7 linked regions of the Solanum lycopersicum genome follow. The protein of the gene in region 3 binds, or shares a complex with, the protein of the main gene of each other region. Links are inferred from orthologs where the notes say so. Each region holds a gene or a part of one and is shown on either strand. Other genes may lie near its edges. The genes, in order: mediator of RNA polymerase II transcription subunit 9, probable mediator of RNA polymerase II transcription subunit 26b, mediator of RNA polymerase II transcription subunit 31, MED18, mediator of RNA polymerase II transcription subunit 13, mediator of RNA polymerase II transcription subunit 30 and mediator of RNA polymerase II transcription subunit 21.

What was found.
Region 1: mediator of RNA polymerase II transcription subunit 31 (region 3) and mediator of RNA polymerase II transcription subunit 9 share a complex: the UniProt entries of both Arabidopsis thaliana proteins name them as parts of the mediator complex. The link is inferred for Solanum lycopersicum from reciprocal best matches to the Arabidopsis thaliana genes MED31 and MED9.
Region 2: mediator of RNA polymerase II transcription subunit 31 (region 3) and probable mediator of RNA polymerase II transcription subunit 26b share a complex: the UniProt entries of both Arabidopsis thaliana proteins name them as parts of the mediator complex. The link is inferred for Solanum lycopersicum from reciprocal best matches to the Arabidopsis thaliana genes MED31 and AT5G05140.
Region 4: mediator of RNA polymerase II transcription subunit 31 (region 3) and MED18 share a complex: the UniProt entries of both Arabidopsis thaliana proteins name them as parts of the mediator complex. The link is inferred for Solanum lycopersicum from reciprocal best matches to the Arabidopsis thaliana genes MED31 and AT2G22370.
Region 5: mediator of RNA polymerase II transcription subunit 31 (region 3) and mediator of RNA polymerase II transcription subunit 13 share a complex: the UniProt entries of both Arabidopsis thaliana proteins name them as parts of the mediator complex. The link is inferred for Solanum lycopersicum from reciprocal best matches to the Arabidopsis thaliana genes MED31 and GCT.
Region 6: mediator of RNA polymerase II transcription subunit 31 (region 3) and mediator of RNA polymerase II transcription subunit 30 share a complex: the UniProt entries of both Arabidopsis thaliana proteins name them as parts of the mediator complex. The link is inferred for Solanum lycopersicum from reciprocal best matches to the Arabidopsis thaliana genes MED31 and AT5G63480.
Region 7: mediator of RNA polymerase II transcription subunit 31 (region 3) and mediator of RNA polymerase II transcription subunit 21 share a complex: the UniProt entries of both Arabidopsis thaliana proteins name them as parts of the mediator complex. The link is inferred for Solanum lycopersicum from reciprocal best matches to the Arabidopsis thaliana genes MED31 and MED21.

What each region holds. Positions count from the first base shown.
Region 1 is NC_090801.1:55,598,965-55,602,915, forward strand, and holds the start of mediator of RNA polymerase II transcription subunit 9, read left to right. Parts: upstream 1-1,151; 5' UTR 1,152-1,472; intron 1,473-2,567; 5' UTR 2,568-2,608; coding exon 2,609-2,965; intron 2,966-3,072; coding exon 3,073-3,135; intron 3,136-3,217; coding exon 3,218-3,298; intron 3,299-3,682; coding exon 3,683-3,741; intron 3,742-3,881; coding exon 3,882-3,939; 3' UTR 3,940-3,951. UniProt on the Arabidopsis thaliana protein: Component of the Mediator complex, a coactivator involved in the regulated transcription of nearly all RNA polymerase II-dependent genes.
Region 2 is NC_090809.1:61,266,115-61,270,241, forward strand, and holds the start of probable mediator of RNA polymerase II transcription subunit 26b, read right to left. Parts: upstream 2,801-4,127; 5' UTR 1,834-2,800; coding exon 1,387-1,833; intron 780-1,386; coding exon 714-779; intron 613-713; coding exon 530-612; intron 1-529. UniProt on the Arabidopsis thaliana protein: Component of the Mediator complex, a coactivator involved in the regulated transcription of nearly all RNA polymerase II-dependent genes.
Region 3 is NC_090802.1:52,519,641-52,523,845, forward strand, and holds the start of mediator of RNA polymerase II transcription subunit 31, read right to left. Parts: upstream 2,801-4,205; 5' UTR 2,647-2,800; coding exon 2,609-2,646; intron 2,525-2,608; coding exon 2,427-2,524; intron 2,238-2,426; coding exon 2,141-2,237; intron 1,976-2,140; coding exon 1,897-1,975; intron 1,507-1,896; coding exon 1,229-1,506; intron 1,075-1,228; coding exon 1,059-1,074; 3' UTR 1,008-1,058; intron 836-1,007; exon of another isoform or gene 92-835; intron 1-91. UniProt on the Arabidopsis thaliana protein: Component of the Mediator complex, a coactivator involved in the regulated transcription of nearly all RNA polymerase II-dependent genes.
Region 4 is NC_090805.1:1,888,056-1,892,039, reverse strand, and holds the start of MED18 (mediator of RNA polymerase II transcription subunit 18), read left to right. Parts: upstream 1-1,184; 5' UTR 1,185-1,578; intron 1,579-1,758; exon of another isoform or gene 1,759-1,832; intron 1,833-2,568; 5' UTR 2,569-2,590; coding exon 2,591-2,626; intron 2,627-2,792; coding exon 2,793-2,892; intron 2,893-3,984. Other genes in the region: ZNHIT (zinc finger HIT-type containing protein), read right to left, coding at 375-448. UniProt on the Arabidopsis thaliana protein: Component of the Mediator complex, a coactivator involved in the regulated transcription of nearly all RNA polymerase II-dependent genes.
Region 5 is NC_090803.1:12,734,184-12,738,238, reverse strand, and holds the start of mediator of RNA polymerase II transcription subunit 13, read right to left. Parts: upstream 2,801-4,055; 5' UTR 2,618-2,800; intron 2,145-2,617; 5' UTR 2,018-2,144; coding exon 1,994-2,017; intron 1-1,993. UniProt on the Arabidopsis thaliana protein: Component of the Mediator complex, a coactivator involved in the regulated transcription of nearly all RNA polymerase II-dependent genes.
Region 6 is NC_090807.1:2,029,146-2,033,167, reverse strand, and holds the start of mediator of RNA polymerase II transcription subunit 30, read left to right. Parts: upstream 1-1,222; 5' UTR 1,223-1,345; coding exon 1,346-1,744; intron 1,745-3,085; coding exon 3,086-3,184; intron 3,185-3,745; coding exon 3,746-3,844; 3' UTR 3,845-3,880; intron 3,881-3,961; 3' UTR 3,962-4,022. UniProt on the Arabidopsis thaliana protein: Component of the Mediator complex, a coactivator involved in the regulated transcription of nearly all RNA polymerase II-dependent genes.
Region 7 is NC_090801.1:60,839,865-60,843,939, reverse strand, and holds mediator of RNA polymerase II transcription subunit 21, read left to right. Parts: upstream 1-1,420; coding exon 1,421-1,630; intron 1,631-2,769; coding exon 2,770-2,847; intron 2,848-3,019; coding exon 3,020-3,071; intron 3,072-3,195; coding exon of another isoform or gene 3,196-3,203; exon of another isoform or gene 3,204-3,217; coding exon 3,218-3,294; 3' UTR 3,295-3,575; downstream 3,576-4,075. Other genes in the region: iron-sulfur cluster assembly SufBD family protein ABCI8, chloroplastic, read right to left, coding at 1-482. UniProt on the Arabidopsis thaliana protein: Component of the Mediator complex, a coactivator involved in the regulated transcription of nearly all RNA polymerase II-dependent genes.

The sequences.
Region 1 (3,951 bases), on a different chromosome or scaffold from region 3:
AAAAATTAAAGATTATTATTTATTATTATACTTTTGAGTATTTCTAAAGTATCTTTCTATTTAGAAAAAGTAAAATAGTTAAGAATTTGAAAATAGGAGAAAAAAACTCATCATAATCGTGAAAGTCACTCTCAAAAGGCTCATCATAGCCCTTTTTGTGACTCGACTCAAGCTCATCATACATTATTCGATATTTGAACTATTCAGTTATTTAAATTACAAAAAACACTCGACAATTTATTTCATATGAACTAGAGGGAGTATATTTCAAGCAAAAATTATTTTGTGACTTTTGTCCATTAGTTTTGATTTATTCCATCGATAGTTTTATCATTTTAAATTTCCGCAAGATTTAGTTACTAAGTGATGTGTAATTTAATTTCTCACACATTTGCAAAAATAAATTTTGTGTACCCACTTCGCTAAAAAAATTATCGACTCTTTTAAAGTTTGAACAACCTCGGCGAAATTTCTGGCTCCGCCACTATTTGGCGAGTAACATACTCATCATACACTTTCTTGGATATATCGCGTTAATTCATTCATCATCAAGATAAATGATTTTGATCTAAAAGTTGATGTCTGGTGCAACCTCTTCATAGTGGAAAAGTGCTTTTTTTTCTTCTAGGTCTTGACTCCTTCATACATGTCCTTGATCTTCTAAATATACGTCATAGAGTCTGGCATTAATACATACATTTTATGAACCCTAAACACCCAAAGGGACCTCCAAAAAAATTTGGTGTGTGTTTTATAGAGGGTCCCTTTTAGTGTTTAGGGTTTAAAAAGTGTCCGTTTTGATATCAGACTTCTACATACCTCCAATTTCCAAACATCTCCAAAAAACCTCCTTCAAGACTCTGTCTAAAAAACTTTCCAATCAATGAACATCATATGCAAGTTTTTCTATTTGACTGTACTTATTTATCAATCTCTTTATAATGACTTTTGAATACATGTGAAACATGCTTAGATATCAAGTGTATAGAATAAATTATATCTAATTTTGACTCATATGTATCTATTTTGTAAAGTTCTAAGAGAAAATATAATTAGAAAGTATAGTTTCAACCGATAAATAACACAAATGTAAATGTGTGTTTTGTGTTGTTTCCTCTTAATTTAAATACAATTCATTCAAATTTGAATGCACTAGTGATCTACTTTTTTATTAGTTCAATCTATTTCAGTTTGTTAAAATATTAGTTCATATATAAATCAAATCGGTTAATGAAAAGTGAGTTTTATGTATTTTGAATTAGTATTTTAATTATTAAAAATTATCTATTTTTTTTTAATACATACTAAATTTTATACTATAGAAAATGTTAAAATTTCTAAATTAGCTTGTTTGCTCTTGAAATCGAAACCTCCCCACAAATTGGGACAGCGGGAGTAATTTCAATTTTGCTATTTGAAAAAACAGAGGATTTTCCGTTGGGGTTTAACCGGATCGGGCCTTTTCATCTCCGGTAATCTTTCTCGTTTTGTAATTCTCATCGTACTTCTGCTTTGTTATTAACTGTACTAGTTGTGGTTTCAGTAAAGTTTAGCTTCGTATAGTTGTGAATTCATTCTCTTGTGGCGGCTTAAATCAAGGGTTTGGTTGTCAGTGTTATAGCAAACGAAGATTCTGTTCAGAAGATTTAGAGTTCTTTTTTGTTGGAAATTTTGAGGTTGTGATTTTGACCTAAAACTGTTAATTTCATAGATAGAGAGATATTTGTATGTTAGTAATAGGGAACCTCTAGGGTTATGAAAACCTAAATTATTGAATATTGGAATAGATGGGGTTCTAATGGAGAGAATTCATATAGTAAACCCAAACTAATTCGGGATTGAGGCATACTTCTTGATTACTGAGCTAAATTAGAGATAAAGAGTAAGAGGTGCAGTTGGGATTGATTCATTTCTCACTTTAATAACTATCTAATTTTACAGTTTTAGGTTTTGTAAACTTTTTTAGTGCATACTAATAACTATCTACCCTTTTGGTTTGCTTGGGATTGCTAGCTCCTTAGCTTTAGTTTAGGATACTTGTATGAGTGCTGAGATTTTTTTTATGCCCTTCCGAATTAGAGCTAAGCGGTCGCATATTTTGTAATCTGGCATCTACCCGATGCCCATTCAAGGATAATTTTTAACCTTATCAAAAAGACATAGTTGCAGCAGTAATTTTTTCCGATGTACCTATTGATTTAACAATGTGAACACCAAATTTATACAGATGTCATGGTAGTTTTTACTTGGAGATAAGAGTTTACTGTTTGTTAAATTTCAAAGAAGAGTTTACTGTTTGTTACGAGGGATGGGCTTCAGTTTTAGAGGGTCTCACTTGATGGCTTTGTTCTCTTTGGTACAAAAGAACTATTCTTGTAATAAGATGTGGATGAAATGTCATTTAGGAATGATGGGAAATATATTTTTGAAGTGGTTTGTACATTTCAGAATCTTAGGAATTATTTCTCTTTGCTACTCAGTCCATTAGGCCAGTTCATGCTTTGATAGTTTTGGCTATTTGTGTAGTACTTGATTACATCTGATGACATTAATTTTATCCATTTTAGAACCAAAGTACCAACAGATTTCAGCTCAACAGCCATTAGTTATGGACCACTTTGGAGGAGGAAGTTGGACAATGATCCCCAACATCCAAACTCACAGTAATCCTTCGACACCCTCCAATCAAGACAATTTATTTCTTCAGCAACAGCAATTTCAACAACAACAGTTCATTCAACCGCAGCTCTATCAGCAACAACAGCAGCAGCAGCAGCAACAACAACAACGGTATCAACAACAGATGCAACAGCAACAAATGCAGCAGCAGCAACAGATGCAGCAGCAGCAAATGCAGCAACAACAACAACAGCAGCAGCAAATGCAGCAACAACAACAACAGCAGCAGCAGCAACAACAACAACAGCACCACCAATCACTTGCCTCTCACTTCCATCTTTTACAAGTATTGGGCAAAAACCATGATCTGTAGCTTGCTATTTTAATAGAGTAACGAGACATTTCTCTTTCCTAGTGAGACCTTTTGTTCTAACTTTTATTGTCATCTTACAGCTGGTGGAGAATTTAGCTGATACAATTGAAAATGGAAATCGAGATCAGCACTCAGATGCATTGGTTTGTTCATTTCTTGATTGATGCATTATATGTTAGTTTTCCATTTCTTCTACATTAAACCGGGTGTATTTTTCCTCACCAGGTAACTGAATTGAAAAATCAGTTTGAGAAGTGCCAGCAGCTGTTGACATCAATATCAGGGTCTATTAGCTCAAGATCTATGGTATTTCATTTTCACACATATCCTTTGATTTCTGTTGTAACTTGTTCTGAACACACCCCCAACTCAAAAAATAAAAAGAAAAAAGAGAGAGACTCCAACAAAGAGTTAAGCGCAATAATATGAAAACAGAACTTCAAAATTATTCTTTTCTGGAAGAGTTGGATTGTTTTTCTTTTGGCAGTGTTATTGCTTTTAATTGTGCTTTTCCATTTGGGCCTGTTTGTTCAACTTATAGTTGTGAAGAATTTTACTGAAAAGTGGGGTTCAATATGTTTGAAACGATGTTGACTTGAACAAAGTTGCTCCACAAATTCTTATTTGGTTGCATGTTTTGATGCTTAAATATGGGTAAGATAATTGACCAGTCCTGTGTTCTTTGGACAGACAGTTGAGGGACAAAAGCGCAAAAAGGCAGAGTGCGAACAAATGCTAAATCAGCGAAGGTTTGTATTATATATATATAAAACACACACACACACACATATATATATGTGTGTGTGTGTGTGTTTCTAATATTGTCTACTGAAATTTGTATAATTATTATTTGCTTCATCTGATGGTCATGTTTCATGCTTAATTACAGGGATCTTATTTCGAGGTACAAAGGCTCAGTTGAGGAGATTATTAACTCTGAACTATAGCTCATACTCGCA
Region 2 (4,127 bases), on a different chromosome or scaffold from region 3:
AGTTATGATGGAATCTTCATTAAAGATAACATCAATTAAAGAAAAACGGTAAGCGACAAACAGTGGCAAGCGTTAAGAAGTAATAATAGCTCAAAACTACAACCGACAAAGCAAGCTGCCAGAGCCGCCAAAAAGACATGTTAGTTCAACTCAAAGACAAAAGATCAAACCTTTGCGATAAAAACAAATTCAGCACTCGATAAATGAAGCAATCACCATCATTAGTATGCATTGATGATTGAGTTATGATGAAATCTTAATTTTACGGTAAAGATAAACGGTAAGCGACAAACAGTTGCAAGCGTTAAAAAGTAATAATAGCTTCAAAACTACAACCGACAAAGCAAGCTGCCAGAGCCACCAATACGACATGTTAGTTCAACTCGAAGACAAAAGTTCAAACCTTTGCGATAAAACAAATTCAGCCACATTAAAGATACCCCGGATCAGACTACTAGAACTGTGTTGTGCATACATATTTTGACGACATTCTTACAGTTATTTCAGCAATAAAGCAAGAGTTACTTACTCAATCAATGTCCGAGATAGATGCCGAACATCCTTTGAGTTGTGCTTTCTGAGAGAATTAACCGACTTTCCAATCTCTGTGGCCTGATATAGAAGCAATCAATTATGTCCATCCAGAATAAATTTAAAAAACAGTAACCACAATAAATGGAAGATGAAATTTTGGAAGCGTCAAAAGATCAAACCTTTAAAGTCTCCACAGACAAAGCCATTAGTTGAAGCCTTCTTAAGCACTCAAACAACTCTGCAGACTGTCAAAAAGAACAATAACTCAAAACCCGATTACTAGAGGAAAGCTCAAAACTACCAAGCAAGTGAAATAGCAAAAGATATAAAGAGTTTAAAAGTAGCTTCATACATTGTTTTAAAGCTAAAGAAAGCAACATCCTTGTACAACTAGATCAAAGGAACAAAAAGGGGGCAAAAAGGAAATGAAAAGCATAAAGGTTTCCTAACTGTGACATGAAAACAACCTCATATCAGATTTTCCAGTTATAGACACTAGTAGAGAAAATAGAATCACCATCAAATTCAACCACAAAAGTTCTAAAATCTTACAACATTAGCTCAATTATCAAGATTCTTCTTCCTGATCAACCCCACAAGAACAGAAATTTCAAATCATTAAATTCAACCATAAAAGTAACCATTGTTATATGTCATACAACACCAGAAACTCCAAAAATTTAACAACATTTAAGCTCAATTATCAAGATTTTCTTCTTGATCAACCCCAAAAGTACACAAACTTCAAATTCACATACACAGAGTCCACCAATTCTTGACTGAACAAATCCAAACACAGCAAAATACTTCAAATCAACAGTATAACCAAAATTCAATAGAGATGAAATGAACCTCAGCTTGGTTGTTATCAATGACATCTTTGATCCTCATCACCTCCCCAAAAGTCTGAGTCTCTTCCTCCATTTCCTCAGTTAATGCCTCAGCTTCTCCATAACTATAATTGCTAACTTGATTCACATTCATCTCAACATCATGATGATCTATCCTACTGTTAACTTTGCTCTCTTTACTACCACCAAACTCATCCTTACTCTTAATTTTTCCTTCATCATCATTACCAGCAATTGGTACAGCTAAATCAACTTTCTCACAACCAAAACACATAGTAACTTTACATGTAAACAACATTTCAGCAATTCTATCCCTTCTCATTTTAAATTCCTTTGGACAATCAACAGCAGCAACCATCACTGCATACTCAATTATATCAAATATATCCGAATTTGCAGTACGAAAATAGTCCCTCCATTTATCCAAAGTCCCACTACTCTTCGCCATAACTGATGATTCAGAGCAAAAACAAATCAACCCAGATCGTAAAATCAATTATTTATCAATACCCAAATATACAAATTCAATCTTTATCCGATTTTAATTATACCCACAAGAAAATCATACAAATTCTAATCGGAAACAAGGTTTTTAGCAATAAAAACCTCTGGTTTTCCGATTAGGTACTTTTTCCGATGATCGGAAACTGAATAATCAGTGTCACCGGCGATTCAGTTCTGCAAAATGCAATCGGATACAGATTTTTATGCTTTTTTTTTAGGAAAAATCCATATGATAGAAACTCTATAAACCCAAAATGACAAAACAAAATTAAAAAAATTAAATAAAAATCCGATTAAGTTTTTGGTGAGATATAAGAAGAGAAATCTAGAAAAAATTATTCCGATTGAAAGAAATTTTTCCAGAGAAAAAGAATATATGTTAAAAAAAAAGTATAGAAGATTTTCTCTCTCTAGCTATCTTTTATTATTTTAATTATATTTCTCTCTCTGTAAAAAAAAAAGCAATACAAGGTGCTGGTTCAAAGAGACACGAGAGAGAGGAAGAAAAAATATTGTTTTTTCTCTGTTGGGGGTGGGGGGTAGGGGTTAGGGGTAGGTGATAAGGATCAATTTTCTTCGGTCATTAGCATGGATCGTGGTGAGATGGTTCTGATTCCTTCATTTTTAACTCGAGAGATTGTCAGTATATAAAATATATATTTTAAGTATGAATAAGTGTGAAATTTGAACTAATCGAATTCTGATATGTATATAGAATGGAAATTGGATTTTGAAAACTTCTTTTATGGATGAAATTCATAAGGATAACTTTGATGATGACAACGATAACGATGAGAATAACATATTTGATATAGGTTCATAAGTAAAGTTTAAAGAAATGATATGGATATAGATTTTATTCATATCTCTTTGACATAGAAAAACTATTTTTAACTGTGTTCAGTTCAAAGAAGGATGATAAGAAATAAATAAATATAGTGACATAATATAGAAAAACAATAAAAGAAAAATCTGAAAGGAAATGATTTTTATTTTCAAGTTAAGGAAGTGATTTATCTCTTTGCTTTGAAGTAGTTTTCTTTTTTTATATATGTTTTTTTTTATGGAATTACAAAATAATATATCCTCTTCATTTATTTTTATTTATCTATTTTTAATATATTTCGTAATAATAATAATAATTTTGTTGTGAATATATTAATTGATGAATGATGTATAGTCTTGGATATTGAAAAATGAGCAAGGAGTAAGCAATTAATATCGATGGTAAAATAAGAAAAAAATGTTATTTTTTATATATTAAAAGTAAGAAAATAAAAAATAAAAAAATATTTAAAGTATGTTTTAATTGATTTATTTTTATATAAAAAGAAATATAAGTTGTTAAAATAATAAGATGCTTAATTAATACGGATAAATATATATTCACATTGTTTATTTTAATTTTTAAGAAAAAGTCTTATTACGTTTGATTCGTATAAAATGTCATATTTACATTAAATTTTTTTATCATAATACTGTCTGTTTATAAAAAATATCATAATATTATATTAAATTCAAATTTCAATGACAAACTATTGTTATTTGATACTATTATTCATTTGGAGTTTTATTTTTTTACTTCAAATAAAAAAGGTAAATTTTTTATTTATATAAAGTTTAACTTAAATTTTCTCCAATTTATCTTTGCCTTTTTAAAAATAGCAAGTGGACTAAAAAATTAATTCTCCTGTTTTAGTCTTATACCACCCTTTGTTATATTAGATTTTTTCATGTTGTTTCCTTTTTTGTAGTTTATAAATCATAATATGTTATATATAAATTTATATTTCTTTTTATATTTTAATGAACAAGTTATTGTTATGTGAAATTATTATAATTATTTATTTAGGACTTGTTCGTTCTTTGATTAACTTAAAATTAGAAAAAGAGTTTCAATAAAGATGTTATTATCCTTAAAATCCTAATAAACATACAAATTACTTATTTTTGCATTGTATTTTGTAAATAAAAGTACCATATAATTTTTTTTATTTGTTGAAGTTTGTAATTTCTATTGCTAGTGTTGTATAGTAGATTTTCTTTCTATTTCGAAAGAATTTAATTTATAATACTAAATAAATATACGAAGGAATTAAACTTCATTAAAAAAACAGAATTTTTTTGTTTGATCCAAAACAAAACAAAATTTTAATTTTTTATTTATTTTTCCAATGCATTTATCAATAACGAGGTAACGTTTATATGATCTCGGTCCTCATTGTTATGTTGGATTTT
Region 3 (4,205 bases):
TGTCGAGAAAAGGACACACGGCATAGTTTCAAACTGAAACTCATAAATATATATGGGGAAGCACTTCACTTGACCAAAACGAGAAAAGAGATGAGTGATAACATGAAATCCTTGGAATTCCGTTAATGAAAGTGATACAGCTAATATAATTTTGTGTGCTGCACTTAATTTCAGGTCTATAGATCTAGGTTGTACCGATTCTTAAGTGTCACACCACCCAATTCAAGCCAAATGGATAAAGTTCCTCTTTTGTTAGTTTTCTGGAAAGACAGTAGGCCCTTGAGAGTCAGTACCTGCAACTTTGAGGACACGGAATTGGAACAGTCGAAGGGGAAAGAATAACTACAAAGGCAAAGGTGATTATAGGAATTCGTACAGGCTAGCCGAGGAGAGGGACCGTAACCTTGCCCAAGTGAAGTGCATCAAAGACCATAAATACTCCTCCCATTTACCATAGATTATAGGCAAAGGTTCATATACTTAGACCACACTAGAGAAGTTGCTCCTTCATTTATCATCAAAATCTGAAGTTCACATGTCAATATGGTGATTCGAATTCTTCACTCCATTGATAACCCATTACTGCTATAAGTGTGCATTGGCAATCTTCCAGTCACCTATCACCAGATGTCTGAGCTAAGCCTAAAAAATTAAGCAATTGAAACCACAAACGAGGGCATCCCAAAAGAGTTCAAAGGCAGGCTGCTTCCTTTCTGTTTTGGTTACTTGGTTTGGGAATAAAATTAGTTCTACATTTATTTCTTAAAGAAATTTGATCCTAGTGAACCCAACAAATGTGTAGTTGATCTCTCGCAAAACTTTAGCACTATGTTTTCTGACATGAGAAAGAAAGTACAGGTCATTGATCATGCTTGAGACTTGGGAAGGACTCTAAAATTCAATAAACAACAAATCACACTCTTAATAGGATTTCATTAATGTGTTTGCCAATGAGGAACTGCAACACCTATTCGAAAAATGAAATCATGGGGTGCAAAATGTATTACCTTAATTCATAAATTAGTTGATAGGAGGTCTGTGCTATGAGTAAAATAAAATTATCCGTCTTTCCTGCTAAAACAAAATTATCCAAGTCAATAACCATTTCAGAAACATTACGTCACAAATCTAACCCTAAAATATAAAATCATAACAAGAGGGAGCATGCAACAACAAGCATTGACAAAGTTTTCACAGTAAGAGAAAAGTAAAAGAGGAGAGGAAATACTTTCTCTTTCTTCGATCAACAGAAGCATTCCTTGGGTCCGTTTTAGCAAGACCAGATCCAGGAGGGATGGCATACTGCATCGGGGAAAGAGCTGCAGCTGTAACAGGTGTAGGAGCAGGAGGTGGAGCAGTTGGAGGGGCTACACTTGATGGTAGTGATGCAGGTGGAGCAGAACTTGGTGCAGTTGCAGGCTCAGGAAGCGGCCGCGGCAAAATATGTTTCAACCGGTTATTTCTGTAGTTCTTCCAGAAGTAAAATTGCTGCCTATGTGCTACTTCCTAATAGTTGTTACAAACATGTAGATCAGATCCTATCACAGATTTATGTGCCAGAACTTTAGGTTGGCAAACAAAGTGCAATAAATAATAAACAGTGAAATGAGATGAGATGTCCTCGGGGCGAGAATTAACCTCGACAACACGATTAAATAATTATAAGTTTTATGCCTAGAAACTACGGGAAAGTTCAGAAATGGAAATAAGGCTAATGGCTAAGACAATGAAGTACCATGTATTATAAAGTGTTTTGGCAGCATTTTTAGTCCATAGAAACTGTGTTTACAGAAAGTGGGGTGAACCTTCTTTATAGTGGCTGACAGTCTTAACTAACTAAAGAGTATAGCAAAAGTGGAGAAGGAAACCAGGACAACACATGACATAACTTTTTACCTTGTTAGCAGGATGAGCCATTGCATTACGAAATGTTGGATTTTGGAGAAGCTCGAGAAAGAATAGGCAGTGTGGATACCTGCATTAACATCAAGAAAGGAAAACCAATACGATTAGTTAACGATATCCATAGTCCACAGGAAACAGAAAAGGAACAAGGACCATCATCCACTGCATCTAAAAAGTTGCAGTAGAAAGAACATACATAACTATTATCACATATTAATACTATAAACTAACTTACATTATAAACTTTATGTACTCAGGTCGTTGCCAGTACTGAAGGTACTTCAAGTACCCAATAAAAGCTTCATCTTCAAAATATCTGTTCTGAGCCAAATCTGCATCAGAATCAATACAAAGTCCACAAAACAAAACAAAAAATGAAAAAGGGATAGAAAAATTGAAGCTTTTGCAACCCAATATTCATTTTCACACCAACAACATATATAACATAAAACTAACAATAATTGGTAAATACCCAGAAAACATCATGTTTAAATAAGAGAAGGGAATAGATAGATAGATACAGTGAATGTAAGTTGGGTTAGCAAGGCATTGAACAAATTCGAGTTCGAGTAAGAAACGTTGGCGCCCATCATCGGGATCTTTATAGACGCTTTTCTGCCTGCAAATTGGAACAGAAAAAACAGTTGATTAATGTGAATTTGCGAAGATGCAAATTGATTTGAGATGAATTGATTCTGCTTACGGTGATTCATGGGTTTCTGGATTCGATGTAGAAGCCATGCGCTAAACCCTAACTAATTCTACTTTTCAAAGTTAGCCGTTGATTGTATTGCTGCGCTATATATACAAAAGGAAAGTCTGAAATTCATTGCATTTTTAAGATGTAATGTAAAAATGGATTAAATTCATATTGAAATAAAATTTCAGTGTTAAAATGACATCTTGTATTTGATTTTGATCCTAATTTTTATTTGCTCAATATGAGTGTGTCATTAGATTCATTTACTCACCTAGATTATACAGTCGATCAGATTGAAATGGTTAGAAATCTTTTTTTTAAGTGAAGTCATAATTCTCATATGTGATTATACCAGTGTTACTAAAGATGAAAAGCGCAAAAAAGCTCTTACGATCCATGGGGAATTTAAGCGCAAATAAAATGTAAGCTTTGATGAAAAAAGACGCAAAGGGAGGAAAAGAGTATAAGTATGCATGTTTAGTCCAAAACTAATAACTATAAACATGAATATGTCAAATATATGATCAAAGAAATTGAAAATAATTATGACAAAGTGAAATATCAGTGATTTAACTTCACTGTCTCATAAGAGGCTCATTGGTAAGGTGACGTTTGCCTTAGAACATTGGTGAAGACACTAAAGTGCACATAAAGCGACGCGAAGCCCTCAACACGTTTTTGAGTCTCGCTTGCGCGCTTTATATCTAAGTTTTGACCAGTTTTTTATTAGTATGCATGAATTTTTAAGCTTAAATTCGTAGTTATATAAATGTGAAAATTGTGATTTTAGTCCAAGGGGTTAAAAAAAAAAGGGCGATTTTGGATGCAACCTTCATGATTTTGGTTTGGAATAAAAATCTTATATCACTTTTGATATTTATAAGCTTGAATTCAAGTTGACTCTGTTTCGGTTATTTCTCAAAGAAACATGTCTACGGGCCACAACTGAATATATGTGTCATGAAAGAGAGGTGCATAATACCATGCCTAAAATGAGCATGGAAATTGGGGGTTTTGGACCTACAACTACGAAATCATATTTCGATGACCAATGTTTCCAACCAAATTTTAGATTTGTTTACCCTTTATACAATTACCAATTTGGACTACTTCAATTGGTATGTCCATGCTTTTTCCTATTAACAAGACGCTTTACCATACACTACAAAATCTTCATCTCTGTCTATACCAAAGCATTTTGTATCTACCCTAACATGGAGTAATAAATAGTCCTTTAATAAAATTAAACACCATTGGTCTTATTGCATGTAGCTATTAGGATTTGAAGTTGGGGATAAGGAGGTTTAGGAGAGGGGAGCTTAAGAGTGACCAAACCACAACCATACATAATTCAGACCATCTCCAACAAACTGTCTATTTTATTTGTCTTTTCCATTTGCTGCCCAAAATGCAAGCATCTGAGCAAGCTAGCAAAGAAAAAAATTCTCAATCCCCAGAACCTAAAACATCATCCACAGAGTTGAAATTTATGTCAGCTAATGACTTATTTGAATTAGAACATCCTTTGCCCTCAACCAAAGAGAGTAAAACAAGGAGATGCCCTTTTCACAAAGCGAGCTCCATGCTTCTCTAGGGAAGG
Region 4 (3,984 bases), on a different chromosome or scaffold from region 3:
TCTAACCGGCTCCCAAACGACACCTAAGGTTCTTTGCAATGATTTCAATGTATAAAAGTCCGCAATTTAGAAAGCTACATGACTAATACATATATAAGCTACGAAGAAATTTATATATTATTTTATGCCGGACATAAAAAATAACTGCATAATTCTAACTAGTTACCAAACGAAACCTAAGTTTCTTATCAACAAATTCATATCTCTATTTGCTACAATTATGATGTTTTTCTACATATAAAAATTTTTACTCTGAATTTTGTATGAATAATCTATATCCATTCCCCTTCAGTTTAAACTAAAAACAAACTCAAAACCCAGAATTAAAATTCAAATAAATTTCAAAGAATGAAAAAAGATGGAAATATAATTACAAGGGGATGAAGCAATTGGGACACTTGTATCTCGACTGTGCTTCATCACATACTTGACATTTTTTCGATCCCATTATTTCTTCTTCTTCTTCGTTATCGAGGTTTTAGGGTTTTTTCTGGAAGAGGTGGAATGTAAAATTGCAATATTGGTCCCTGAATTTTGAGTTTAGATTCAATCGGGTTCTTACAATTTTATCAAATTATACTTTGAGTCGCTTAATTAATTATGGGCCTAAACTCGAATTCGGGTCCAAAATTTTCAAACCATTTTCTCTTCTGCTAAGTACCACTTTTCTCTAATAATTCTACGAGATACTCGTCACTTTCTATAATAATCATTTTTCGTAAAAGGAATCAAATCATTTTATTCATTTATATAGAAAGAATTTTGCAATAATTAATTTTCGTAAAAAGTATCAAATTATTTTATCCATTCATATAGAAAGAATTTCGTGTTATCAATTTTCGTAAAAGGTATCAAAATCATTTTATCAAAGAATTTCGTAATAATCAATTTTTCGTATAAGGTATCAAATTATTTTATCCATTCCTATAGAAAGAATCCATTAATATTTTTTAATTAATTATATAAGATACTAATCAAATTTTCGTAACAGACATTTATCCACTCGTATGAAAAGAATCCGCTAATATTTTCAATTGATTCTACGAGATACTTGTCACTTTTCGCAATAGGTATTATTCCAACCCTATGTCTTGAGTTTCGACTTTTTTGATATTTTCGACCACTTCATTGAGCACTAAATCACCATATTATCTCTGTTACTGCTAATTGTTTTGGTTTCTCTCAGCCATAGCTTGCATTACTAAACCTTAATTTTACAATTGATCGTAGAAACATATTTTTCTTGCTAGAAAAAATCTCTCTTTGGCTCGTTTTTACTGTTGATTTTTTGTTATGTGATTAATTGGACCTTGTTTGATGTAGAAACCTAGATTTTTTTGTTACAATTGGACCTTGTTTGATGTAGAAAACTGGATTTTTTGTTACAATTGGACCTTGTTTGATATAGAAACCTAGATTTCTAGCTAGAATTTTTTTTTCTTTGGCTCGTTGTTATCGTTGATTTTTTGTTATGTGATTAATTTAGGTCTGCCTGTTTAAGCTTTCGAACTATTTTTTTTAATTGAATTTTTGCAGCTCAGATTGGGGGAAAAAGTGAGATTGCTTCAACTGTTCAAGGTAATTCTTTCAATTTTTTGCTCTGATGTTTTATGTTTAGTTCTACAATGCTAAATGATTGTGTTTTATATGTCATACAATAGTGTGTATAGATGATAAAATTTGGAGTTTGATGTAGAAACTTTGAAAAAACAGATGTATAACAATAAAGATATGTTAAACAAAGATCAAATTGTACAGGCACTAGAAAAATCATATTTTGATGCCAAAATAGTCGAAAAAAACCAAAGGCAACATATACCATATAGTCCAAGGTATTGTCTTTTCTTCACCCATTCTTCTCCTTTTCCATTTTCTCTTTCTTTCCTCCATTTTTGTAGTCATTCGTTGTTTTTGCTGAGCACATGCTCCATCATATAACAATGACAACAACATACCTTGTGAAATCCCACAAGTGGACTATGGGGAGGATAGAATGTATATATGTTGTTGTACGTATGTAGAAAATATTTGCCAAACAGGAGTTAAGCTATGTGTCCAAGTGACTAATTTTCCACATGAAAAGAATCACCCATGGTGGAGTGACTTCATTGATAAAACTTGATACCATTCCAGCACTACTACCTATTTCTTTGAAGAAACTTAGTAAAACTTAAGGTTGTTTGGTCATAGCCTAATGAAAGGAGCAAGTTTGACAGTTTTTGGTGCATATTGGATCATTAGAAGTTTCATGCTTAAAATCTTGGTGAGAATTTGGGTGTACCAAAAGACAAGTAATGACCAAATGCTTAAATTTCTAATTATGGATGGAAAAGGCAATAATTGAAGACCACCCCAAAATAGGGGCAATCCGGGCAAAAACTTTAAGCCTCAATCCAAAACTAAATTCATATTAAGATCCATTAATCTTCAAGCAATGCACTTCTCATACAAAGAGTGTCAACTTTGTTATGATTTTGGTTAGGTGTTAGCTTTTTCGTTGTTACTCTTCTGTTAAACTTAATATCTTTTTGGTTCATAGGTATGTTCTAAAGAGTTCTTTGCATGTAGGTTTGAATAAATTGAAGTGCGAATGGAGTGTGTGGTTCAGGGAATTATTGAGACTCAAGTAAGTTCCTGGAGTAATGATAAAACCTCCCCCTATTTCTCGTTTTTTTCTTATTCAATCTTTTAGAAGGTATGCTACTTGTAAAAGGTATACTACGGCATTTACTGAAACAGTTTTTGGCAATTGATTATTGAAAAGATCTTGACAGTGCTAATCATACTTGCAGCATGTCGAGGCCCTGGAAATTCTGCTTCAAGGGCTTTGTGGTGTACATAAACAAAGCTTAAGGATTCATGAACTGTGCCTTAAAAGTGTCCCTAACCTAGGTAAGTGTATTTTCTCTTTGAACTATTATGGAACTAGGAACTAACCCAATGGTCATGTATGTACTGATGTGGCTGAGGCAAATGCTCACAACCATCTATGCATTCGTAGGGAGGTTTTCTCACCTTTGAGTTTGTACATAGCTGATAATTTTTTTATGGTCCATCTTATTCTAGTTGTACTGTGGTGCTGCATGTCAATTATTGAATGGAATTAGGTTCAAGTATGATTCACTTTCAGTACATCTAATTTATAGGTCGAGACCACATGGTTTTTGCTCATTCACTTGTTGACTGTTGAGTGCCTTGTTTTCAACAAAGTGTTGCCTATCATGGTTTTGTCGATGATACAGATGTGATTCTCTGCGATGATGTACATGTGATTCTTTGACATGTTGATGAGGGTAACGTCGGAGTATTAAAACAATGCTTGTTTCCTGTTAAAGATAGTATGGCAGATGTTGATCCCACAAGGATTGAGTTTCTGCTATCCTAATTAGTGTTGCTCAATTACTATTCGAGTAATCAGATAAGCAGGCGGAATGTTTTTGACTAAAATGAAATATAAATAAGAGTTCTATGACATGAATGATGGTGAAAGAGTATCCATCAGTTCATTAAACGAGTTGAATATAGACTTTTTTGTTCTAATCAGAAGGAGTTGAATCTAGACTTCACTTATGATTAGTGTATGGTGTTCACTGTCCACCAATCAATATTGATCTCTAAGTTATAAGTGCCTCTCTCTATTACACTCAACATTGATTATTCCTCTCGCTTGTAGTAATATCTAAGGAAATAGAAAACCTTAAATTCAGAGCACCTTCAGCTAATCACCTTCCAAATCACTGGTGTATATCTCGATTACATCTAACTACTATAACCTTCTTGGCTAAGTGTATTTCTTTTTATTATAATAGTCAAGGTATTATTATACCTTAAATATGGAAGACGGTTGATTAATTAACCTTGGCTCCCACAAATATATGTTGACCCCTTGTGGTTGTCTACGCATTTGTCATATCATCATCACAATTCATAAAGTATGTTGAAGACTGATTTCTCCTCTTGGTTAGACAAGGAAAAAAAGCAAAC
Region 5 (4,055 bases), on a different chromosome or scaffold from region 3:
AAACATATACATTGTTCATCCTACCAAAGAAGCAAAAAATATGAACACATACATTCAGTCGTCTACAGCCTCAAGTTGGCCCTTAAAAATCTGATTATGACCATTCTACACACTTCATATTATATAATGCCGAAACATACTCCAAAGGTTTTCATTGCCTTGTTAATCTTCTTACCTGCCAGCTTTCAAAAGTACTCATTTATTTTGCATAACACATTGTACACCAAATATATTCAAGAGCAAGCACCAGATCTACCAGTAGCTTTTTTCCAAAAAGTATTAAAGAATTTTAATGGGTTTCACACGCTTTGACCCACAAAAAGCATCTGCTACATATTTATGTTCTTTTTGTAGTTGTCACGGTCTAGACGTGCCTCATGTGTTGTGATCGTGCAAAACAAGCTACTTTTTGGGAGCCTTGCTATCCCATAGGATTTCCAGGGCTTCTGCGTACTCCCTTCAGAAGGATTGTTCAGCAGATCCTATTCAGAGCTCACTGTGAACTTCCCTTCTAACCATTCTTCCAGAACACTGAATCTACTGCTGAAGTTGAGCCTTCAATATATTCCAGTTCCTTATAAACTCTGACCTTTCCACATCATAACCTTCATCAAAGCTTCTTCTAAAACTTATATACCAGCACTGACAACTCCATCAACCAACCATGTACATGTCATGGAAACTGACTATTGAGGGTCATGTCATAGCCATCCATAGTTCCAAAATCTAATATTTCTTCTGTCCCAACTTCCAATCTTACCAAATAATAGGACTCCTCCCATATAGCTCCTGATGTACTTATTTACAACTATAGAAGTGTCTAATATCGTAAGATTTGGCGCACCATTTTCCCCAGCTAACTACACTTTTGGTTTTACAGTTTCTCTTCAACAATTCTTCCTACTGATCAACATTGAACCTTGACAACCTAATACTTTTGTTTGATTTATTTATATATCCACTAACTGATATGATTTTGCTGGGAAAGAAGAAAACCAAAACTCGATAACCATTTAACAATAAGGCTCTTATATTACTATTTATTAGTCAGTCCATACAGTAAGTTTTTTTCTTTACATAGAGTCCAAATGAGTGGCAGGAGCCATTATAAAGTTCCAATAGCGATTCAGAGCAAAAAAATGGCGCCAGGCACCAATAGGCAGCATAACATGATCACGTATCTAACATACAAGAAAGAAACAATAAAAAAAATTATGCATTAACAGGTAGATCAATAAATACTTAGGTGTGCATGGTCCGTGTATATATAGTCAAATTTCCCACAGAAGAGAGTTGAGAGTTTCCTGCAGAACTTGAGAGACAATGGTGAAGACATCATATTCTAGGGATCCTGTCTTTTTTGGCCGTCAGTCAAAGAAACTTGAAAAATCTTTTAAGTGATATTAGAGAATAGGACAAGTTCTGGAACTCAGAATGGAAGGATTTTACTGGAGGAGAAACTCAGAAACAAAAGGGTGATAATGAAATTCATGGACGCTGTAAGTTTTTCAATAAATCAGCTGAAAGCAAACGAGTGTGTGATGGTAAAGATAGTAGAGACTGCAATATGAAGTTCTTTTTTATCGTCTAGCAATTGCTAACTGAAGAAGAAACTGTGTACATTTAGTGAGGTCGGGAGAAGTGTTAGAGAAAGAAGAGGTCAGGGAGGCAACTGAGGGCTTCTTTGTTCTCTCTCTTTTCTTTTTTCCTTTTTCTTTTAATTTTGGGAGAGGTAGTTCATTCTACCCAAAGAAAAATAACAGTCTAGTAGGAAAGGAAATAAGAAAATGCATGTTAAGTTAGCTATGTGAATTCCATAAAAATGGGTTATAAGATTAACACAATTTCATTACTAGGGTTTCCAAACTTGTAAAATTTATCAAGCAAAATGGTAAACCATAAAAACCTTCAACTTAACCCTCACAAAAATTGTAATATCACAACAACGGCAGGTATAATGAAGCATAGAACAATACGAAGGCAAGAAACATACGATCTTGAACACATTTGTCCACATCACTAGATAATTTTGACGCCTGATGAAGTAAGCACGTGCACTTCTCTGCAATATGGATCTTAAAGTAAACGACCTATATCAGAGGCACCAAGCATTTCCTTGCACAACAAAGGAGCTGCACTTCCTTCTAACAAAACATAAAACAATAGATTATTGTTCGTAAGCCAAAGTTGAAGGAACTCAATAAATATCAACCAAAAAAAAGTAATCTTTAATCTTTCTAGAACAAGTGCAAAGCAAACAACTATTCATATGTTAATCGAGGGTTCCTTTTAGCTAATGTTAGAGCAATCAAACACACACAATTGAAACATCAACCCCAAATATTTCCAGTATCCATTGTAAGTAACACGAAATTCCATTAATCAAACAAAAGGGGCAACACCAAAATACAAAATTACCACTTTGCATTATAGTAAGACTAGTTCAACCCTAAAAAAAGGTGTTCATAATTACAAATCCCCAAAAGTCGAAAGAACCAAAAAGCCCCAAAATTCAGTTCAAAAACGAACACATGTATATACATCGAAAGCACTTCTTTTAAGTAAATTCGATCACAACAGAACCGAAAAGCAGGGAGTAGAACAGAGAGATGCATACATAGAATCAGATCTGATGAAGGCGATGTAAAATGTTAAACTGTGAGAATTGAGAAGCAGCGTAGTAAGCAAAAATAGCAGAATGAACGCCCAAAATACTCCGGCGGCTGCTTATACCCCCTTAATATACAAAGTAGAATGTAGATAATTACTATCAATGGAAATTTTATAATTTGTTTAATTCACTTTAATTTGAATAAATTCATGTTTTAATATCAACTTTGTAAGATTGTCTTTAATTCTTTGAGATATCTCGATAGACACTTTTCGATTGAACGAATTAGATTATCAAATGGTTAAAGTTGAAAAAATATATATTATTATAAGTTTAAATGCCTTCTAAGATAATAATTACTACAATATTAATGGTTTAGATCTATTTTTGTAATCGAAAGTAAATACGAGATATTGTACAAATAAAGTAGAATAAGTTATATAATATTGTAATAAATCAACTAAAAGAATTGAGAAATTAGGTACATAATAGAGTTATGGGAGAATTTCGCCGATGTAATTTTTGAAAGACAGTAAAATAATGAGCTTTCTTTGAAAATCACAAGTAGGGTTTGAGATTTGCGAGAAAGAGACCTATTGTCTTTCGTATTAGAGAGAGTAACACCCACAATTTCATTTCGCATTTTCATTATTTACCTCAGGCCTCATTTAGTTGCAACTAATGGAGGTCTGAATCTTAATCATTCCGATTCAACTCATTAAGTGCGTTTGATTTTTATGTTTGAATTTGAATCATTTAGATTCAGCCATTAAGTTCATTTATTTTTTATAAAAAAACACTCTTAATGAATATGAAGAGGTCTCAACAAATCAAATATTGTAACAACCTGTTTAGTCAGTTCGAGCAGTAGAACTATTTTTGATAAAAACTGACTGGGTCGACGGATCACGCGACGGACCATCATGGTCGCGACGGACCGTGATGGACTCCGTCGTCCCATACTTGTGTAATTCCTTCTGTTGCTCTCCTCATTACTCTTGACGACAGGTAGGATGAGCCGTCATAGGCACGACGGTCCGTCAAGGGCCTTCGTTCCAAAACACTTCAACTCTGAAATCTGGGTACTGGGATCAACTCTCTGAACTTTGTGACAGACATGCAGGACGGACCGTCGTAGATACGACGGACCGTCACAAGCTTCACTACTGAATTTAACTCTCTGAACTTTGTGACGGACCTGCAGCACGGACCGTCGTAGACACGACGGACCGTCACAAGCGGCGTAACCCCGACTGGTCGGATTTCTGCTAAAAGTTTTAAAGGGGTGTTTTGGACTATTCATGATTATAATTATGGAATTAGTGGGGTAAGTTTAATAATTTATTTACTTGGGGGTTTAAAGAAGTTAATAAGGGAATAAATAGTGGGTTACTTTTATCATCTTTTATAATTGATTATATGACAATTAGGGTAAAAGAAAAAG
Region 6 (4,022 bases), on a different chromosome or scaffold from region 3:
CTCCTACCGTCATACTTTGGAGACATTGGTACCCCTGTCCCTTCGTTAGAGTGAAGGGCATATATGCTCTAATTTATGAACGACAGAGACATCAATGTCCCAAAATAATGACTGAAGGTATCTGCATATCATTTACGGTAGTTCGAGAATATATTTGTCATTTTTTCCTTTTTATAAAATAAATTTATTTGAATTTTAAAATCTGAAAAGTGTCTTATAAAATGAAATAGAAAGAATATTATATATATATAATATTTTAATTTCTATTATTAAAATGCACAATAAGACTAATTATCGATTCGAATGGTGTTGTCTTTTTTTAATTAGGTATTAATGGCACGTTGAATAAAAAAAAAGGAATCTTTGATTTGTTTCTTTCAAAATCTCAAATGGAAGTTTTTAAACATTTCTTCTTTCGCTTTTTAATTTTAATTGGAATCACACTTTTTTTAGTTTGCATCTATTTGCGATACATAGACTCTCTCTCATTCACTTTACGTCTTTTTCACTCGTCTTTTTTTCTATAAGTTTATATTTTAAAGTGTATATAGTAGTATATTACATGCATCTAGGTCTATATGACTTGACATCTAGTATGAAATTACTAATTAGAAGACGATGCGTAACTTTTCAAAATTATGAAAAAAAAACTACGTAGTAAATATGATAGGAATGTTTATGTAATCTGGTAATTTTTCTGCAACGTTAAACACAGATATTTGTGCACTTCTTTCCCCCATTGAATTTCGGGGAACTTATATACACGTACTATAATTAAAAAAATATTTACCATTTATAGCAATAATAAAAAAAAATTACTTAATCAGTTTTAATTTATTTATAATACAAGTTTTATACATATTATAAATAACAATTTAATATTACATATAATACAAATTTTAACGATGGATAATACGTTTTTCACACATTTTAATACATTTATAATAGAATGTGTCAAATTTAGTAAACAAACTTAATATATTTCAAAAAACAACTTATAATTCACGTACATTGCATACATAATTCACTTTTAATTCATATTGCAGATTTTACATAATATTGCTATAAATGACAATAAATAAAAAGTATCGCTAAAATCAGTAATTATTTATTAAAATGTATTAATTTATATAATTTTTCCTTGAATTTTGACCCAAGTAACTTGATTTTGGGCTTGATCCAGTAATACATAGCTCCTTACCCGGCCCAAAAAGTACACGCCACGCATAAAACGACGTCATTTTATGCTTAAATTAATTCTCCTTACAACTTCTCGCACCGCCGATCGCCACCACTACCGCCGCCGTCGATCTAGGGTTTTGACAAGCCGGTGACATTACCCGGTATGGAGGATAAAGGCACAATTACAAGCCCTAAAACCATACAAGAACTAGCAGTAGAAGGGCAAAAGCATTTAGAAGATACAATAGAAGCAGCACATCAAATTCTCTCCGCCATGAACGATGAACTCTGTAATCCATCACTTTGGTCCACTCTAAATACAGCTGCTGCTTCTTCTGCGGTGGCGGTGGCCGGTGGAGGAGTTGGTGCTAGTGGTGTTTTGAGTAATGGACAGCAGCACCATACAAACGGCGACATTTCGTCTGATACTTCTTCGTCTTCTTCTGCTTCAGCTCAGCATTTGGATATTGGTGGTGGTGCTCTTGATGAATCTCGTCTGCGTTATAAGTCCTCTATTGCTTCCTTGCGTTCTGTTCTTACTGCAATTTCTAATTCCCAAAAGGTAATTTTACGTATAAAAATGCAATTTTTTAAAACATTTTTGTAATTGTGTGATATCTGTAATTTAAGATAGTGATCTCAGGAAAAGTTAGTTTGATGTAATCATGAATCAACAATGGCTTGATCATAAACTAGTTCGGTTCAGCTATATGAATGAATCACTTCTAGTGAAGTCCATTAAACAGAAAATGTGTAAAAGACTGGGGCTTTGTTCAATGCCAAAGGTAGTTCAACGTGACCGCAAAGATTTGGATCCAACGTAGATAACCTCTAGTTTTAGAGGTTCCAAAGGTTAAAACTATTTGATACTGGAGTGAAGTGGTTCCATATGGATATGGAGGATTCGTATACTTCCACCACCAACCAGCTTGTGTTGAGCCATAGGTGGTGTTGGTGTTCTGTTAGATGGTAGTTTTGATTGGGAATGAAACTCAAATAGATATTCTAGAAATGTAGTTCCTTCGGAGTACTGTAGGAGAGAAAAACATTATCCAGTTTGAGCAGAAAAAAAAAGACATTATCTAGCGATAAAGGTAAATTCAGTGTGAAAAGTGTTTGGTGATTGATCTTAATCACAAAACAAGGGGTTAAACAGTTTTGGTGATTGATATGGGAAAGACATCATGTGGTTATATACTAGCACAATTTGCCCTTACCAATATGAGCAACATTTGCACATGGCAATTGTATATTTTGATGTTCTAGACATGGGGATAATATTTCTTCACTATGAATATAATATTCAGTCGTTTGATCATCCCTCGTCATCAGTTGATGAAGCTCAACTGTGCTGCTTACTCTTTTTCTGATTTGTCTTATATTCTTCTGGGTTTGTGGGTGGCTGTTGGGGGCTGGGGATGGGGGAAGATATTTAACTATGTTTTCGAGGTTGTTCTTGTTTCTGCTGTTTAAACGCACATGAGGTATAAGTGTTTATACCAAGATAAACTACTGCGTGTTATCCTTTTCAAGAAAGAATTAGCACTATAATCACATCTCAAGTCCTTGGTGTTGGTGTATGGATTGCCTTAACATTTGTGCATTGGAGAGAATCTGGTTAAGCAGTAAGAATTTTGTTTGTCAGTATGAACAAATAAATCACTGATGTTGAGTGCATTTTTGTTGCTCAACATATGTCCGACTACACATTAAATGAGTTCTTTTAGTAACTTCTTTCTTAAGAGTTGTGCAAGTATTTGCTCCGTTTTAACTGGAAGTTGTCAAACTCTCCTTTCTGTTGTCTCAATTCTCATGATTAACAAGTTATATTTTCTTGTACATTTTGGAAAGTTGTTAACTTATTGTATGATACTTCACACTCATTACTGGCTTTGTTAGCTAGGCAAAAGCATTGGAAGCTGCTTCTGCTAGTGGTTCACTATCTGCAGCAGATCAAGCGGAAATTGAGCAGCTGGAAGACCGGGCCTCTTCATTAAAGAAGGTATTGATAACATATCAAATTTTGACATATTAGAATTTCCTTGGATTTTTGTTGGTTTTTGGGATGCATGATGGGTGGGTTTGGTGAAGCAAATGTGTGTGCCAATATTTGAACCTTGACTGATGTCTTCCTTGATCCATTGAGTAATTTCTTATCCATTAAAACAATATTGAGGTATACTACATGTTACATTTTCATTCCGGACACATGACAAAATGTCTTACTGTACAAACTTTCTCAAGTCTCGATATTTGTCACAACCTCAAATCAGAACAATATGATTTTGTGATAACATATGAAAACTTGGTTTCAACATCCTCTGCTTGTTGTACATACTGTATTATTATTAATTTTATTCCTATTGCGTTAAAATTAGTCAAATCCTGTTTCATTTGCTTTATGTCTCCCCCTAGTGGCAATAAGAAGTCCTCAAGTGAAGGTAGAGTTTTATCGTACTTGAGTGCATGCCTAATAGTTTTCTATTATCTTACGGTAGTGAAAAATCAAGTTGCTATTGTGATCAAGATTTAAAGCATATTCTATTGTTCTTACAAATTGCAGGAGCTTGTAGACAAGAACAAGCATCTCAAACTTCTGATTGACCAGCTTCGAGATCTTCTTGCTGACCTATGTACATGGCAGAGTCCCTGTTCTACATGACTCTGCTGCTATAACTTCAACCATACAATTAAATCGGTGAGGTGTTAGAGATGTCAAAAGAGCAACGTATTCAATCTTAAGAAACTGTTTTATTTTTTTTTCACTTCTTTTGTACAGAAGTTACTGCTAGATTCAAAAAATTGGTCATCGCCGGACACCTGCTATATGCTGCTCGCGG
Region 7 (4,075 bases), on a different chromosome or scaffold from region 3:
TCTAAAGTTGGTTTCTTTTTAGGTTCTGAATAATAACAAATATTCTGAAAATCAATTTCTGGGTACTGATTATCAGACCATTTCGGCTCTTTCATTTTAACAAATTTCTCATACGATTTCAATCTATACTCAAGCATCCATTCAGGCTCATTCTTTCTTGATGAAATTAACCTAATAGTATCCTCCGAAAGCCCTTTTGGCAGCGCAAAAGATTCAATATTTTCATTAAAACCCCATTTATAGTCTCTTTTCAAGAATTTCTGAAGTGGGTCGCCTTCATTTGAGATTGATAAAGATGATTCTTTACCTGGAACTTCAACAGTGGCCTTCGCATCAGCAGCTTTAATCTTGAAATTACCTGGATTTGAGATTTTGGGGCCGGGTGAATTAGGCAAAAAGTTATACCCTTTTGGGAGTTTAGGCTGCTCAGCGATGGATTGAGGACAGAAGTGTGAGATTCCGTTGGTGAGAAGAGAAGCCATAGTTGATGCTTAGAAGATAGAAAGAAGCAGGATGAGAAGGCAAACATAAATTTTATTTGTTTCTTTTTTAATTTTTTGTGGTGTCTGATCTAAGATGTCGTATGCTGACCACGTGCATCTTTTCAAAGCCTAAATTACAACAACAAAAAAAAAACAATTAAAAAAAATAGTAAAGCTAAATTATTTTTGTTGCATTTTATGTCATTTAAGCGCTCACTTGATAATGATAAAGTCAGACTTTATGTTGAAAGGTTTAAAATAAAAACAAGTAAATGTGAAGAGTTATGACTGGTGTTTGTGCATGTTACTTTACAAATTAGGACTGGTGTTTGTGCATTATCTATAAGAACGGTGAAACTCAGAAAGTGACGAAATTTACTCAGAAATTCAATGGCGTTCATAAGAGAAATTTGTAAAATCCTGGGGAAAATCGTATAAGAGAGAAAATCGTCTAAGAAAAAAAAAGGGAAATCGTATTATGTTTTAGAGAAGTAAAATGAATGAAAATGAGAAAAAAATTAATAATTAAGATTTATGAGTCTACATGGAGATGATGTTTTTTGGTGCTCATGTGGCATCCATATGGTGTCCACGTGGCGTTCAGGTGACACTTAACACACCTTTGTTAAAATTAAGGGTAAAAATAACTCAATACTTTAATAGAAGGGCTAGAATTTAATTTAAAGATATATGTGAGCTAATTCGGATAATTCAGAAATATTTTTGAGCATTTTTCGTAAAATTTAATTGAAATAATGGTTAATTTTAGGTCTAATTTTAAAACAATTGTAACAGATTATCGAATCTACTTCGGCTCTACCCGGACCTCCAATTCTAGGGTTTTCAGGTAAGTTCTTCTCCTCTGTTTTCTATTCCTTTGTTCGATCTTTTCTCAAAATTCACCATTTTTGTTAGCAATAAAGGGAAGGATTTGGAAGATGGATATCATATCACAGTTACAGGAACAAGTAAATACAATTGCAGCTCTTGCTTTCAACACCTTTGGTACTCTTCAGAGGGACGCCCCTCCTGTGCGTCTATCACCTAATTATCCAGAACCTCCACCTGCTAATCCCACAGAAGACTCAGCTAATGTTGCAGAACAACCAAAGCAAATGAGTGCTGCTTTTGTTAAGGCTGCCAAGCAGGTGAAACTCCATACTCCATACCTTCACTTTTTCTGCTTATTCATCAACGAATATGAACAAGCCACAGACCAGGGTATAAAAGTAATCTGCGTGTACTTCGAGAATAGGGAATTTTCTCTTTTTTCGGAAGATCAAGATAAACTATTTAGTTTAGTTTCCTTTTTTGTGTAGACATTTTTTTTGTAAATGAGCCTGAATAAGTGATTGAACTTGTAGAATCCCTTTAAGAATAGGAAGGTATATCTTTGTGTTCCCTGTAAATGTTGTTGATTGCACCTTCTTGGTGCTGTATTACAAATGCACTTACCATTCCTTCAAAAAATCATTTTTGGACAAAATAATGTTTCTTTTGTCTTCTTTTGACTAGTATGTTTACTTTTGGAAACGTCAAATCTTTAGATATATGATGTGTTTGTGCAGTTCTATACAAGATAACACTAAGTTGTATCTTGGCTCATCATATCTAATGCGTACATGCAGTTCTATACCAGATGATATTAAGTCTTTGTTTGTTCAGACTTGAGACCTGCGTGGTTGAGTTCAAAGACCTTAGTCCTGATTCCTGAGACCAGTGTGGTTGAGTTCAAATACCTAGTCTTTTGTCCTTAGTTTAACGAGAAATACAATAATGCTATTAGCATCACCAACTACTTCAATAAAACTTGACTGAATCACATAATGGCGGACAAATTCCAACTACTAGCTGGACAGGATTGCATGCCTCTAGGGATTTTTACTAGAGAACTTGATGTCAGCCTCTCAGGTTTGGTAACCATGACATCTAGGCCAAGACTCACCGGGTAAACCTGGTGTCAAAACCGGAAAACTGAGTTCTAGTTTATCGCCCTTTAGCTGTCTTCTATGAAATGTATATGGACAACCCTGTGATTAGTTCTAAGGTGTTCAAGTTTACAGTTATGTTTCCCTTGTTTTCTTCTTGGCCTCACAATCAGAGGTTGTCTAATCTAGCATCCTATCAAACTTAAGCAGCACAGCCGACACTTGAGAGTAGCCTTGAGGATTGTGTGGCTCTAATTCAGACCAATTGCAAATTTTCATTGTGATCCTAAAGTGTATGCTTTGCTACAATGTCATTGTATTAAATCTATCTTCTCTTTTTCTTATCCTTCTTTGAGCAGTTCGATGTGTTGGTTGCTGCTCTTCCTTTATCGGATGGGAGTGAAGAAGCCCAATTGAAAAGAATTGCAGAACTCCAGGTATATGCTTCTTTGTGAATAATTGGTGGAATTCACTTTTTGACATCCTCTAATTCTGATGTGTTATAGCTTAACAGTATTTAAACTAAAAAAATAAAGAAGGATAAATAAAGATTAGTCTGTCTATTTTGGGCTTAGTAGTCTTACTCGGTTGTGTATGTATGTGATGTAGGCTGAGAACGATGCAGTTGGCCAAGAACTTCAAAAACAACTGGAAGCTGCAGGTAAGAGTTTGTTTTTCCCTTGCTTTCTTTCTGAAAGATAGTGGAAGCTGTTCTGATTAGGCTAAGGTCCAAATTTCCGTTTTCCTGTCTGTATTATTAATTTTTTGTTTATTCTGAGACTCAGTTTGCTGATTTTGGTGATTTAGAGAAGGAGCTAAAGCAGGTCCAGGAGTTGTTTAACCAAGCAACAGATAACTGCCTGAACTTGAAGAAGCCAGAATGAATAAGGTAGTAGATATTTCAGTTTGCTTGAGGAGCCCATTCTTGCTGGAATATACCCTGGAGGAACAACAAATTGATTGTGTCCATGTCTGTTATGGGTACATTTATTAACTAATTATAATTAGGCATGCTCTGACATTATTTTTTTTTTAAGTTCTTGGCCACTGCTGAAGAAAAGAATTCAGTATACTATTGTATCTGGTTTAGAGCTGTGTTTATAGAATGAAAAGAGGTAGGGATAATGTGCCTAAATAGCAAAAATCAGCAGTTTTTTTGTCTCCACATCCTTAAATATTAGTGTCTTCTGTGCCACGTGTTCAATTTAGAAGTTGGCTAGTTTCTCTGCTCCAGCACTTGTCAAAAGTTATGCAATTATCAGACTGACTTCGTAAACATGTGATCCCAAAACATGGCAGCTGGCATGCACAACTACCCTACCGAGTTGATGATTTTAATTCGTAGACACATTTTGGGCTGTGTCTGGGTACTTTGGGAGTTTAGATTGCATATCGCCAGAATATTTTCTTGTCGTGCTGGAACTGAGGCGTGGCCGAAAACAAGTAGCAACCACACAAAATATATAGAAAACCTTGTCTGCCTAATATGTAAGCGTGACAGCAACGAAGAGAAGAATTTACAGCCATCGGGGTTTGTTGAATGCTAAAATTTAGATAGAACGTGGGTCCAACTATGACTGGTAGAAGGACTCAACCACGTCATATGACAATTGGCATCAATACATGAATGAAGAAACTAACGCAGGAGACGTATTGAAGACTACA